Notamacropus eugenii: one gene and its partner. Each later gene encodes a partner of the first gene's protein in a complex. Links are inferred from orthologs where the notes say so. Each region holds a gene or a part of one and is shown on either strand. Other genes may lie near its edges.

Region 1 (7,153 bases):
TACCTTCTCTCTAGATTTTGTGACAACTATTCTTTCCAAGTTCTTCTCCTACCTGTCAGACCTCCCTTTCTCAGTCTTCTCTGCTGGATCTTCATCTAGTTAACTCACTAACTTCCCCCCAAGCTCTCTCCTGGGTCCTCTTCTCTTACCGTATTTCACTTGGTGATCTCATCAGCTCCCATGGATTCAATTATCATTTCTATGCTGAGGAGTCTCAGGTCTATTTATCCAGCCCTAACCTCTCTTCTAACCTTCAGGATGACATCTCTCACAGTTGACTGGATAAACTGGTGGCTCCACAGACACCTTAAGCTTAACATATTCAAAGCTGAACTCATCTTTTCTCCAAACCTACCCAGCAAGTTTCCTTATTGTCACCCCATCACCCCAGGCACTCAAGCTTGAAACCTAGCCTCCTCATTCACTCTCATCCACCATATCTAATCTGTTCTCAAGTCCTGTCAATTCTATCTTTGCATCATCCCTCCTCTGACACTGCCACCACCCTGGTGCAGGTCCTTATCACCTCCTGCCTAGATGGTTTTTCATGACACACTCCTGGCTTCAAGTCTCTTCCCACTCCAGTTCGGCTTCCATTCAGCTGTCCAACTGGTCTTCCTAAAATGCACTTTTGCCCATATCTCTCCCCCTTCAATAAACTCTGGTGCTACCCAGGAACAAGTGTCAAATAGCTTGGCCCCTTTCTACCTTTAAAGTCTTCTTCTTACATCCTACTTCCTTTCATATACTCTACCATCAAATGACATTGGCCTCTTTGCTGTTCTCTGAACAGGACACTTATCTTCTAACTCCAAGCATTTTCACTGGCTGTCCCCCAGGCCTATTAACTCATTCCATCCTCATTTCTGTCTCTTGGCTTCCATCAAATCTCAGCTAAACTCCTACCTTCAGAAAGAATCCTTTATCAGTCTTACTAAATCTTAGAGCCTTCCCTCTGAGATTATCTCCAGTTTATCCTGTACATATCTTGTCTATACAGTCATTTACATGTTATTTCCCCCATCAGACTGCAAACTTGTGAGAGCAAGAATTGTTTTTTTTCCCCTTTCCTTGTATCCCCAAGGTGTCTGGCATATAGTTGGCACTTAATAAATTCTTGGTGACTTGGAAGAAAGTGATTATTTCATTTTGTTTTTCTATTACTGCTGAGTGAACCACCAATCTCCCAGACTGACTACTTCAGCGTCTTCCTGGACTCTTCCCTTTCCCTTACCCCATAGATCCAATCAGTTGCCAAATCTTGCTTCTACTTTCACATCTCTTCTGCATGTCAACATTCAGGGCCATCTCCAGTTGTCCTAATCTCTATCTTGCCACTGAACCCAGAGAGCTCCAGAGGAGAGAGTGAGGCTGGCAACTACACAGTCCTCCCTCACCTAAATCCTATTTACTTGCAAATCATGACATCTCCTTCCTGATGTCATGGTCCTCTTCAAGAACAAAGGAGAAACAACAACGTAAGTCACCATCCTAGTGCAGGCTTTCATCACTTCTCACTTAAACTGCAAAGGTCTCCCAACTGATTGCAATGCCTCAAGTCTCTTATGAATCCAATTTATCCCCCACACAGCTGCCAAAGAGATCCTCAAGTGCAGGCAGGCCCATACTCCTCAAGAATGTTCAGTGGCTCCTTACTACCTCTTGAACCAAATATAAGGTTCTTTGTCATTTTTAGGATTCTTCGCAACTTGGCCCCTTCTGACCTTTCCAGTCTTCTCCCTTTCATGCATTCTATAATCCAACTACACTGGCCTACTTGCTAGTTTCCCCAAAATATACTCATTTTCTGTCTCCAAGCCTTTGCACTGACTGTTCCCCATGTCTGGAATGCTCCTCCTCCTTCCCTGTACATTTGACATCCCTCTCTTCTTTCCAGACGCCTGAAAAACCACCTTCTACACGGAGGTTCTCCCAGCCATCTGAGTCTTTCCCAGTAAGGTTACTTTCCTTCTTCTCTACATCTTGTAGGCTCCTACTTATTTACTTATGGTCTCCCCAATGAGTACGTACGCCCCATGAGGGCAGGGATTTTGCGTTTTGGCTTTTCTCTGCATCCCCATGGATTAGCCCAGCTCACCAGGCACACAGTACGGACGTAAATGCTTGCTGATTCCGTAAGTGATTTTTATCTTTGCAGCAGGCACAACGCACAGCACCCGGAGAGGGCTCAATAAACGTTTGTGGTGGAGACGAACGCACCAGGCGCCCCCAGGCTGAGACAGACCCTAGCCACGCTGGGGGAGTCACCACGGGCAGGGTACTTGAACCTCTCGGAGCTCAACGGTAACATAAACAGGCTGAACGAGATGCTCTCTCAGGACCCCCCTCCCCACAAACACAGCCCCACCTCCACCCTGCCTCCCCGGGGCCACCTGACCCCAGACCGCACTGAAGTTAGAAAAGTACCGACTCGTAGTTAGACCAGTGGGGAAATGGGGGGCGGGGCATCAGGGACCAACATAAACATAGGTGAGGGGAACGGAGGGCGAGGACCAATGGAAAGGGAGGCGGGGGCTGCAGCGGACCAATGGAAACGAAGGAGTGGCTGAAACCAATGGAAACGGGAGAGGAGGAAATGAACCAATGAAAGGGGAGGGGGCACGAGAGACCAATGGAAATGGAGGCGGGGGCTGCACGAGGAAACCACAGAAACAGGGAGGAGGAAAGCAGGGGGTGGAGCCAACAGAAGCGGGGAGGGGGTCTAGAGAGCGAGTAGCCGCGAACCAAGGGTGGGGGAGGGGGGCGAGGGTTCCGTCCACCTTTCCCCGAAGCGGGAGGGGGAGGCACAGATCCCGAGGCTCCGGGCTTCTTCGGGCTCGGATGTGAGCCATCGTGAGAGGAAAGGGTTGCTCGAGCAGGGACCCGCTACCTGGATAAACGCTTTCACCTCCAAGTCGAATATGACAATCTCTTGGTTACACATCCGGACGTGGACATCCAGGGTAGTCGCCATCTTGGGGACCGACTACGGGCCTTCGTAGAGGCCAAACCAAAGTGCGTTTCTTATTAACGCGTTCTCCCGGCGCTGTTGCAGCGCCACCTGCAGGCGGGTCACGGAGGACTCGGAGGGACCTTGGATACTCCGCCTTCGGACGAAGAGGCTGAAGGCCATGCGCGTAGTACGCAGCGGAGCTGGCCTCTCGAGTCCAGAACCCCGTGTTTAACAAGTATTTATTAAGCGCCTACTGTGTACCTGGCTCTGCTCCAGGTGCTGCAGGATACAAAGGCAAAAGTGAAGCAATCCCCGCCTCCCCCCCGAGCTAACGTTCTTCGGTGGGTTGTAAGGGGATACAAAGTAACCTAAAGCAATTTAGAAAGTTGGAGAAGGTGAACTCCGGGAGGGAGCAGGAAAGGCTTCGTGCAGGAGGTGACCTGTGTGGGGCTGTGCTTCCGAGAGGGGCAGATGAGAAAGGAGTGCAGATATTGGGGACCCCCTGGGCAAAGGGAGGGGGGGAAGAGTGGGAAGCCCAGCCGGCAGGCCAGTTTGCCCGGAATAGAGAGTGCACGGAGCAACATGAAGTAACCCTGGAAGGGCAGGTGGGTGTGAGACCGACGAAGGAGGGCTTTAAATGCCAGGCTGAGGAATTCACGCTTTATCCAAGACGGAGACAAAATAGGGAGCAGTGGGAGATTCCTGAGTAGAGAAATGACTCGGTCCTATCGATGTTAGGAAATATCATTTTGTCAGCTATGAGAAAAGGGGTGGATCAAAGAGGGGGAGAGACTGCAGGCAAGGAGAGCGATTGGGGGTTATTGCAGTAGTCCAAGGAAGAACCTCTGAAGGTCTAAACTAGGTGGGGAGAGGGGAATAAGCATTTAAATATCATCTACTGTGTGCCAAACATTTTACAGAGTTGATCCTCACAACAACCCTGAGAGGTAGATATTCCTATTATCCCCATTTTACTCTTGAGGAAACTGAGGCAGACAGGTTAAGTGATTTACCCAGGGTCCCACAGCTAGTAAGTATCTGAGACTGAATTTGAACTCAAGTCTTCTTAACTCCAGAACCAGCACTCTATCCATTGGACCACCTAGCTACCTCCTCTAACCTAGGGTAAGAGACTATGTGAACAGAGAGCAGGAAATTGGTGGAGATATTGTAGCAATAATATCAAGAATTAATTGGATGGAGAGAATGAGGGAGAGGGAAGAGCCAAGGTTGACTTGAAGACTGTGAACCTGAGTAACTGGAAGAATGATGGTACTTTCAACAGAAATGAAGTTTTGAGGAGGAATGGGTTCTGGGAAAAATATAATAATGATTCCATTTTGAATACTTTGAACTTGTAATATCTATAGGACATCCAGGGATAGATGTCCAATAGGCAGTTGGTAATACAGACTGGATTTCAGATGAGGGATTAGGGCTAGACATAAGATTTGAGAGTAATCGCTATAGAGATGATGAACCCATGGGTGTTGATGACATCACCAATTTATCAAGAGAAGAAGGCCAGGACAGAGCCTCTAGATGGGGATGCCCATGATTAGTAGGAGGGAAGACAGTGATGATCCAGCAAAGGAGTCTTCAGGCTGGTTGAGGGCAGCTAGGTGGTGCAGTGGATAGAGCACCAGTGCAGGAGTCAGGAGGACCTGAGTTCAGATCTCACTTCCAACACTTGACACTCACTAGCTGTGTGACCTTGGGCAAGTCATCTGGTCACTGGATTCAGATGGCTCTGGAGGAGAAGTGAGCTTGGTGACCTGCACAGCCCTCCCTCACTCAAAACAAAGTCAAGTGCAAGTCATGTCATTATTTCTCTGATGGCATGGTCTTCTTCAGCAATGAAGGACGAACACACTTCAGACTGGTCAGACAGGAAGAGAACCAAGAGAGCAGTGTCATAAAGTCTAGTGAAGAGAATGCAAGAATAGGTCTGATAGAGTCAAAAACAGAAGTGGTCAAAGAATGAGGCCTGAGAAAAGGACATTGGAATTAGCAGTTGAGTCCTAGGTTACCTTGAAAGTAGCATTTTGAATCAAATGGTGGGGTTAGGAGCAAAGGATTAAGGGATTAAGAAATTGAGGCAAAGAGTGTAAATAACCTTTTTCTAAGATGAATAACTGCTGGACAGTAGTTTGAAAGGATGGCAGGGTCAAGTCAAAAGGCTGTTTGTTTTTTTAAATGAGGGAAGTCTAGGCTTATAATTATGAAAACCTACACTCTTCAGTTATATGGTCATGAAGTAAGGGAGATGATGCTAATAATATTTTAAGGTTTGGAAAATGTCTGATATAATTCATGTGATCCTCACAATCTTGTGAGCTAATTATTACCAATTACTAAAATCTACATTTTACAGATGAGAAAAGTGAGTTTCAGAAATTCCCAAAGAGCACATAGTAAATAAATGTTAAAGGCAGGATTTAAACCATATGTTCTTGGCTTCTTAGGATAGTTGATGTGAGAGACAAGTGGGGTATAAGGAATGTTTTTATAATAGGTCAACGTGAAAAGTTTGAGAACAGGCACAGTAATAGTTGTATACACATATCATAGAGGGCAAGGCTTAGTTCATAGGAAAGGGTGTTGACTTTGAAGTCAGGAGGACCTAGGTTTAAATCCTAGTTTGGGGACTGTGACCTTGGTCAAATCAGGGGTCAAACTCAATTACCTCTAATATCCTTTTCCCTCTGTTTATTTGATCCACTGTCTTGGAGTCTGGAATCCTGTGAACTCTAATATTTGTTACTAGTGAGATCTTGGGAAGGTCATAGGATTAGAACTGGAGTATACAACATTGTGTGTGTGTGTGTGTGTGTGTGTGTTCATCCTTCATTGCTGAAGAAGACCATGCCATCAGAGAAATAATGACATGACTTGCACTTGACTTTGTTTTTAGTGAGGGAGGGCTGTGCAGGTCACCAGGCTCACTTCTCCTCCAGAGCCATCTGAATCCAGTGACCAGATATTCACCAGGATGACTGGAGATGACCCAGGATGAGGCAATTAGGGTTAAGTGACTTGCCCAAGGTCACACAGCTAGTGAGTGTCAAGTGTCTGAGGTGAGATTTGAACTCATATCCTCCTGACTCCTGCAATGGTGCTCTATCCACTGCACCACCTAGCTGCCCCATTAGATTTGGAAAGGACTTTAGAAATAATCAAATTTAACTTTCATTTTATTGATGAGTAAACTGCGGGGGGAAAGGGGATGTCTTCCCCAAAGTCACAATAGCAGAACCTATGTTTGAAGCCAGAACCACTGTCTCTAAATCCGATACAGCAGGCAGCTGAGCCATAGTTTCCTCATCTGTGAAATGGGAGTAATACTTGCAAGACATACCTCACAGGATCTTTGTGAAGAAAATGTTTTAAGGTTTTAAAAATAGCGTTTTAGATATAAAGTTGTAATTCCCTTCAAAGTACTTACAAGGAGAACAGTATCCCAGGTATAGCTACAGGATTAAAGGGCAAAGGTTGCTAGTCCCAGTGTGGAAGTTTCAAGGTAGTTTGTGAAGCCCTGGTATAGTTACTAAGCACATATGAGAGTTGAAAGAAATGTAGTTGCTTCTCCCCAACCTAAATATCTAGTAGGTCTGGGGAAATTTCCACTGAGAAGGAGGGAGGAGGTTAAGAAAGAAACATTTTGACTCTTTTCTGTGCTGACTGAGTACAAATATGGTCCCAGCTAACAAAAAGAGTTGATATAGCCATAGACAGGGTCAGTGTTACAAAAGAGCAATAAACACCCACTTTAAGAGAGAAGTCCAAGAAACCAGTAAAAGCTCTCGCCTTTGGCAGTAACTCTGTGGGGAAGAAGATGCTCAGCCAAAGATGACAGTAGCAACCCTTCGGGAAAACAGTATTTGATAGCTGCAAAGGCAGTATTTGGTCCCAGGATAATGAACTTTCCCTGGAATATATTTTCTTTCCCACCAGGGGCATAGCAGTTTGTGAGATGTTGTTCCCTTTGTGTGTGTGTGGGGGGGGGGGGGCAACTTTTCCTTATTTACTTTGCTATTTTGTCCTAATTAAAAGCATTGCTATTTCATTTATAGCTCCTGGTCTGTAGATGGAGAATCTGGAGAATGGAGCTTGGTACAACCAAGCTGATCCAAAGCAACCCATCCTGGACCTAGAGGGTAGTGGTCTGTGCTGAATGATAAAATACTTGTTTTTTTAAGA
Region 2 (7,995 bases), about 93 Mb from region 1:
AAGGTAAGGATTATGAGGTGTATGTTTGTGGCACGGTACCTAATATTTCACACATATAGAAAAAATATTTTAAACAGCTAAGAAATGATCTCAGAGGCTAAGGAAAGGCCTAAAAGATAAAGAAGTAACTGACTGGACACAGTGCAATTTGAGTGGACACTACATTTATCTGAAAGACAGTTCTCCAAACCTGTCTCCTTCCTTCTTTGGCCATGATAAAGGACTAGGCAGAGAAGGTCAGGTTGAGAATGAAACAGATGCAATGTACTGAGTTTTCTGGTTTTCAAAGAAAGCTGTACTTATGCATCACATAGCACCAGGCTAGAAATCTCAAGCACTGCATGTTGCCACATGCACCTCTAAGCACAGAGAACATACTTCTTATCTCTAAAATGAATTCTCAAGTATTACTAGACTTTAGACGAAAGGTAAATCAAAAATGCATGCTGTTTTTCATTAATATTGTGGCTTATTTATGATCTCTTAAGTGAAAAGGAATACTATTTCCTCCTTAAAAACAGAAACACCTTGAACCCATAAGGATAAAAATTAGAAGGCCATACCTAAACCATCAGAGTTGAAAATCTATTCTATTTTTAAATATCCAGAAAAACAAGACATTCCTCAACTTCCCTTATTAACTTATCCCTAACTCTAATACCGTTTGACACAAATTCCCCATGTTTTGGCTTCAGCACAGTGCCTAAAGATTACTACTAATGGCATCTAACATTTACATAGGGCTTTGAGGTGTGCAAAGAGCTTAAGAAGTATTATTCTATCTGGTCAAGTTTCTTCAGTTGAATTAAACCAACTTTCTCTAATGCTGCTTCCAGTAAGGAACAGCTGAGATGGTGAGGAGAGCACATAGAAGACGGCTGACTTGACATAACTGAATCAGTTCAACAATGCAGGATACTTAGAAGAGTCTAAGAGGAGCTGTATCTGAAGTGAAGTTCCCAGAACTACAAAGCAGTTGAACTTTTGATACACTAGTACTGAAATAAGACTAGACAGGTGCCCTAAGTAAAAAGCAAAACTAGGGGAGAAGCACATCATCCCCAGCACTAGTCAGCGGCCCCACTAAGTAAGCAACACAAAGGAAGCTATGTTGGAAGGCACAGAGGAGGGAGGTGGCAGTGCCCTGTTGTCAGACCACACGGAATATTTCATTACTTTCCAGGCACCAGATTTTAGAAAGGACTTCAGTAAAGCAAACAGCTTCAGGAGGAGGGCAACCAGGAGAATGAAGGGTCCCATGCCCTTTAATGACACTGCTGCCTTCCCTCTGCAAGTATTTCCAATTTAACCTGTATATCTCCTTTGCTGTCAGAATGTCACCCCCACTAGACTGTAAGTTTCTTGAACACCTGGATTATTTTTTTGACTTTCTTTGTGTGCCTAGGGCTCAGCACAGTACTTGGTACATACCAAGCACAATAAAAGCTCAAAGACGTGACCTGACATATTTGAACTGGTGGAACAACGTAGGAATGTTTAGCTGGGAGAAGAGTGGAAAAGGAACTGGGATGCTGAAATGAGAGGAGGTAGTTTTGCTCGTTCCCACAGGGCAGAATGAAGAGGAATGGCCAAGAGGAAAATATAGGTTTGACTTAATGGAGGAAAAAAAGCTCCCCAACAGCTGTCCTTTGGTGAAATGGTGAGCCTCTGGCTGGTTCCCCAGTGGTAATGACTGTCCCCTCATTGGAGTCACCTCGGCATCTTGATGTCATGTTCCTCTTCGAGAACGAAGGACAAACACAACAACAAGACATCTTCAAGAAAAGGGTCGGGGGGTAGGTAGGTGGCCTACTATGCGCCAAACACGGGGTTAAGCCCGGGAAATGTCAGCTCCTGCTCCCCCAGACGTGGGTAAACTGAACACAACCAGCAGAAGGGGACAGAATTCAGAGGTACAGGGGAGAGCCTCCTGTTGTAGAAGGTGGGGTTTTAGATGAAATTTGAAGGAAATCGGGAGATGTCTACGAAGAGGGAGGGCACTCCAGGCATGGGGGACAAGCCAGAGGAAATGCCTGGAGTCTGGAGACGGCGGCGTCTGGACTTTTGGTTGTTTGTCTTGGTTTTTTTTTTTTTTTGGGGGGGGGGGATGACTTGGTCGGACTTGTGCTTTAATAAGATGGTTCTAGCAGCTGAGTGGTTAAGGACCTTGACGGCAGACATTATCTTCCCTTTTTATCCACTGTAATCCCAGCGTGCCTGGCACACAAAAGCGCTCCCAGAGGCACTTAGGAAACGACGACGGGTTAGCCTGGAGTTGGGGAGCCTCGGTGCCCCCCAAGAGCTTTCCTCGCAACTTTGCGATGGAAGCCCCAGGAGGAATGGAGAAATTTAAGAGAACGGGGGCGGGGGTCCCTGGCACCTCGGGATCCCCGGACACCAGCCCCCCTGGCCCAGAGGACTCACCGGTCCCCCCGGTTCCCAGGAGCCTGTCGGGGACCCCGCGCAGCTCATCGTACAGCCCGCGGAAGATCTCGTGCAACTTCTCGAAAGGCTCTGAGGACACAGCAGCCGCCATGGCGTAGGGCGAGCTTCCCCGACACCGGCAGGGCCGAGGTCCCGGGCCGAGGGGCCCGCTTCTAGCCCAGCGTCGGGCTCAACCGCCGTATTAGCGACTCCATGGCCCCCAGCTAGTTCGACCGTCGCCACAGCGGAAGGCTAGGCGCTTCCGGGAGACTGAAGCAGCGGGGTCCTTTAGAGCCGGAAATCGCTCCACGAGGTCCCACCTTGCCACCCACCGGGGGCAATCCAAGATATGCCTGATGAGAAACCTAAAACATTTCCGCGTAAGGCAGGGAGAAGCCGAAGCCACCCTATCTCTCTTCTCTCGTCCATGAGCCGTGCTGTGATTTGGGCGCCAGACTGGAGACGACTAAGCTGTCACAAGTGGGTGAGCGAGAGTTAAGAGTCACCCGTTGCACTAGGCGATAATGGAAGAGAGAAAAAAAAAAACAGGGCCGTAGGAAAGCTGTGGTTTCGCGGTGCATTGAGGGAGTTGTAGTTCGACGTAAGCGACTCGTGACAGTCCCGGTGATAAGGCGACATGCTTCCCCAAGACGCGATCGGATTGTGCGTCATCACGCATAGTCACGTGCCAGTCCACTGAGACTATCTGCTTCTCTCTTTTTTTTTTTCTCCAGCTAAGACTGGTTTATTAACTCTGAAGGCTTGATGCTTCCTCTTTTACAGGTCGGGCAACTGAGTCCCGGAGAGGATTTACACATAGCAGCCAAGGTGATTTTCCTAATCCTAGCAAGTTTTTATTTTTTAAACTTTATTGATATTTTGTTTAAAATTATAGATTATTCCCGCGTCGTTACGAGGTCTCTTAAAACAGGTACAACTCAATACAGGGACCTCGTCTGAAAGTGCAGGCGCCATATTTTTTTTTACTTGGTTTCTCTTGGGCTTTCTTGGTCTGCATTTTCTTTTGCAACATGTCTAATATGAAAATGTTTTGCCTGACTGCACCTGTATGATCAATATCAAATTGCTTGCCTTCGAGGGGGGGGAAGGAGGTGGAACTCCAAATTTTTTAAAAGAATGTTAAAAATTTTTGTTTGACATATAATTGAGGGGAAAAAATAAAAAATAGATTAAAATGTAATTGAGAAATATTTAACAATAAATTTAAAATCCACAAAAAAGAGGTAAAAAATAAAAAATAAATTAAAATGTAATTGAGAAATATTTAACAAAATAAATTTAAAATCCACAAAAAAAAAGTGCATGCAACACACCAAAAAAATCAGAAATTAACAGAATTAGGCGGATCAGGTATACTGGAATGAAGAAACATGAGAAGACACTCCTGTGGGAGGTCCAGGGGTGTTACACGTTGCACATGCTTTCTGATTTTTTCAGCATGTCAATCAGTGGTACTGATCTTTCTTCCAAAAAAAAAAAAATAACAAACTGCACCTATTTGTTACACAAAAGATGGCTCTCTGGGAAGGGGAGGGAAAAAGGATATGAGGGAGAGATATGTAAGGAAAAGAAAACATCAATAAAAATTTTTTTTTCACAGTAATCTATTTTCTCTCCCATTTTAAAAAAAGATTAAAAAAGGAAAGTTTTTGTAACAATTATACATTGTCAGTTATAAACAATTATAAATTTCTCTATTGACTATATCAAATTGTCTCCTCATCATCTCTCTAATAGTATATTTCATTGTCCCTCTTCTGCAGTTATGAAGTGTCATTGTATTAATCACAGTTCTTACAGCTTTCAAAGTTGTTTTTACAGTGTTTTTGTCTAGAATTATTGTGCTTCTGCTCATTTAATTTTTTAGTAGTTTATAAGAGCCTTCAAAATTGTTCATTTTGATCATATTGATGTTGTAGTATAAACTGTTCTTTTACGTCTTAATTGAGAGAAGGTTTTCACTTGTTTTTCCGTTGTGTCTGACTCTTTGGAGTTTTCTTAGCAAAGATGGTTCACCATTTCTTTCTCCAGCTTATTTTATAGATGAGAAAACTGAGGTAAATAGGGTGAAGGAACTTGCCCAAAGTCACGCAGCTAGGAATTTTCTGAGGCCAGATTTGAGCTCAGGAAGATGCTTTCCTGACTCCAGGCCCAGTGCACTATCCATTGTACCACCTAGTTCAGTATTCACTAAACTACTGTGGCTCCCTTTTATCTCCAAGATCAAATATAAATCTCTTTATTGTCATTTAAAGCCTTTCACAGCCTGACCCTTTCCTACCCTTCTAGCCTTCTTACACAGTTACTCCTCACCACCATCCATCCATACACTGGCCTACTGGCTGTTCCTTGATTGGGGCCCTGCCTGAAGGCTTCTCTGGACCTTCCTAGCTTGAGAGTGATTATCAATAGTAACTGTTGCTGTTTCCCATCCTGCCTGATGGCTTTCTTTTTCTTAACCTCATTAAAGGAGCCATGCCCTGGCTACTTCTTAAACAGACCTATTCAATGAATGGGAGTTGCCTCACCCTAAGTAAGTACCTGCAAAGACCTTGGCCTAAAGGTCTCCCATTGCATCTTGGGCCATCTCCAGTCATCCTGATGAATATCTGGTCACTGGATTCAGATGACTCTGGAGGAGAAGTGAGGCTGGTGACCTGCACAGCCCTCCCACACTCAAAACAAAGTCAAGTGCAAGTCATGTCATTATTTTTCTGATGGTATGATGTTCCTCAGCAGTGAAGGATGGACACAAAATGCCATTCCCTATTCCAACTCCATTCCTTTACATGAAGTTCCCTTCTAACTTCTGCTTCCTGGCTTCCTTCAAGTCTTGACTTAAATTCCATCTTCTGTAAGAAATCTTTTGCAGATACTTTGGGTTCTCTCCTGTATGTCTCAAAGGGATTGTGTATTGTTTTGTGCTTACAGGACCTCCCTTTGTACACAGTGCTGATTCCCAAGCCAAATCCCAAATTACAAGTAGGACTGCGAAAGGTGTTGAGGAGGGTCAAAAATTTTGAATTTTTTCCCAATTAAAAGTGACTGATCAGGAGTCATTTTCCAATCTATAGTAATACAATTTGGTTTTTGTTTAAGTTTGCCTTACTGATTGCAAACAGAATCACATAAGTCCTGGATGTTTGACCCCCTCACCCACTAGGGGCATCCCTTCTCCCAAGAACAAAGGGACATGTGCACCTATTCAGCAGTTGGTTCAGTTAAAGGCATAGCTGGCATGTTAGATCAGACACATAAATATTAGACTCTCCTGTTCTCCCAACCCCAAGGGCATAAAACTGGGCATAAAATGAAAACAGCAAATACATAGTTCATTCTTGAGGATTAGTGACATCAGGAAGGTGATGCCATGACTTGCAAGAGAATTGGAATTAAGTGAGGGAAGGCTGTGCAAAGTCAACAGCTTCACTCTCTCCTCCAGAACCATTCGGGTCCATTGGCAAGATATAGATCCGCACATATGGAGATGGCCAGAGATGTAGTGGGAGACCTTGGCTTTTTTAAGCTAAGGTCTTAGGTCTGTTTGTCTGAGGCAACACCCATACAGTGCTTAAGGATAGGTGGTGTTGTTTGTCCTTTGTTGACCAATAATAACATCAGGAAGGTGATGTCATGACTTGCAAGGGAATTGGATTTACTATGTGGAGTACCACCTCTGTCTCTAGTAGATAACAGGTGAAGGATTAGGTCCTAATTATTGGGTGAAACAAATAAGCCTTCAAAAAACAGTCATTGGTGTTGGGATCCTTTTCCAGGTTAACTGAGTCCATGAAGTCAATCAGGAATTTCTTCCTTTGCTGCTCAGAGGTCAGTCATGGCAGACTGATGTATTCAGGTCTTCCATTTATTAATCTTGGTGGCAGTATAACTGGTCAGCAGAATATGATAAAATCCCTACTGAATGACTCACTTGGTCTCTGTATACCACAACATACCTGTAGCCCATAGGCTTTGGCAGTTCAGCCTGCAGATTTTCTATTGGTACAGCCCATCACCTTCCCCCATTTTGTCACAGTTTTCTTCTTTGAGGAGTTAAACTGTTGACAAGAAAGGGAGCTAGAGACCATGAAATGGGTCTCTGCATTAAACACTGGGCAAACCATGACGTTACAACTTGCAGTTCAAAGTCCTTGGTTCCCAAATCATATCAATCCAAGCAGACAGGTAAAAGGTCCATTACACACATATGGCTAATAAAACAAGCAAAATTACAATAGGATGAATACAAAACCCAATATAGCTGTAGCTTAAAGAGTGTGAAGTCATTTGGCACCGACCATGATCTTCAGAAGTCTGATAAATACCTCTTGTACATCTCAAAGGGCTATGCATGGATCAAGCCAGGTTTGTGGAGGTATTTCCTCAACCATCTTCAGGTTCTAGGCACTTGTAGAGATTCTCTGGGTAATGCCTGCTAGTGATAAGACTTAATATAATTTTGTAAAATGTGACAAAATCTAATCAGATTGACCTTTAAGTAATTAGTTCCTTTGGTGAAACTCATTCAGACCTTATGGATCTAGTCCTATTAACAACAGAATTATAAGAAGAATATCAAATTAGAAACTCATAATTAACCGGGAACTTCAGAGAAATTCAGTTTTCACATAACACTTGTTCTTTCTGTCTTTACTCAAACCCTGGTATCTGGTATGGATATGGCCATCAAAAAACTGAAGGAAGAATCTTTAAAAAGAATCCATACTGTGTCCAGAAGGCTATAAAACTGTGCATACCCTTTGATCCAGCAACACCACTGCTAGGTCTATATTATAAAGATTTTTTTTTTGAAAGGAAAAAGACCTACTTGTACAAAAATACTTATAGCCACTCTTTTTGTGGTGGCTAAGAATTGGAAATCAAAGAGATGCCAATCAATTGGGGAATGGATAAACAAGCTATGGCATGTGATTGTGATGGAATATAATTGTATTATAAGAAATGACAAGCAGAATGGTTCCAGAAAAACCTGAAAAGACATATATGAACTGATGCAAAGTGAAGTGAACAGAACCAGGAAAATGTTGCACAGAGTAACAACAATATTGTAAAATGAAGAACTGTGAATGACTTATTTATTCTCAGCAATACAATGATCCAAGATAATCCCAAAGGACTAATGACAAAGTATACTATCTGCCTCCAGAAAAAGAACAGATATTCTTTGAATACAGACTAAAATATTGCTATTTTTCACTTTCCTTCTTTCCTTCTCTTTTATTCAAGTCTTCCTGTACATATTGACTACATGATTGCTAATGTGTAACCTATATCTGATTGCTTATTATCTGGGGGTGGGGTAGGAGGAAGAGATGAAAGGATAGAATTTGAAACTCAAAGCTTTTTTAAAAAATACAAATATTAAAAAATTGTTTTAATATGCAACTGGGGAAAATAAAACATTTTTAAAAAATGTTTTATAAAAAAGATCCATGGGGGCCTGACTTGGCAAATGAACCCTTTTGTCTTTGGTGAGGACTTCCCCAGGTGGTACAGGCAGATGAGAACAGTTTGTTTCATTAGCCATGA

What was found. The genes of interacting proteins can lie anywhere in the genome.
Region 2: BNIP1 (region 1) and VTI1B share a complex: the UniProt entries of both Homo sapiens proteins name them as parts of the SNARE complex. The link is inferred for Notamacropus eugenii from reciprocal best matches to the Homo sapiens genes BNIP1 and VTI1B.

Annotation. Positions count from the first base shown.
Region 1 is NC_092872.1:405,059,221-405,066,373, reverse strand, and holds the start of BNIP1 (vesicle transport protein SEC20), read right to left. Parts: upstream 3,009-7,153; 5' UTR 2,975-3,008; coding exon 2,891-2,974; intron 1-2,890. UniProt on the Homo sapiens protein: As part of a SNARE complex may be involved in endoplasmic reticulum membranes fusion and be required for the maintenance of endoplasmic reticulum organization. Also plays a role in apoptosis.
Region 2 is NC_092872.1:312,455,904-312,463,898, reverse strand, and holds the start of VTI1B (vesicle transport through interaction with t-SNAREs homolog 1B), read right to left. Parts: upstream 3,004-7,995; 5' UTR 2,537-3,003; coding exon 2,425-2,536; intron 1-2,424. UniProt on the Homo sapiens protein: V-SNARE that mediates vesicle transport pathways through interactions with t-SNAREs on the target membrane. These interactions are proposed to mediate aspects of the specificity of vesicle trafficking and to promote fusion of the lipid bilayers.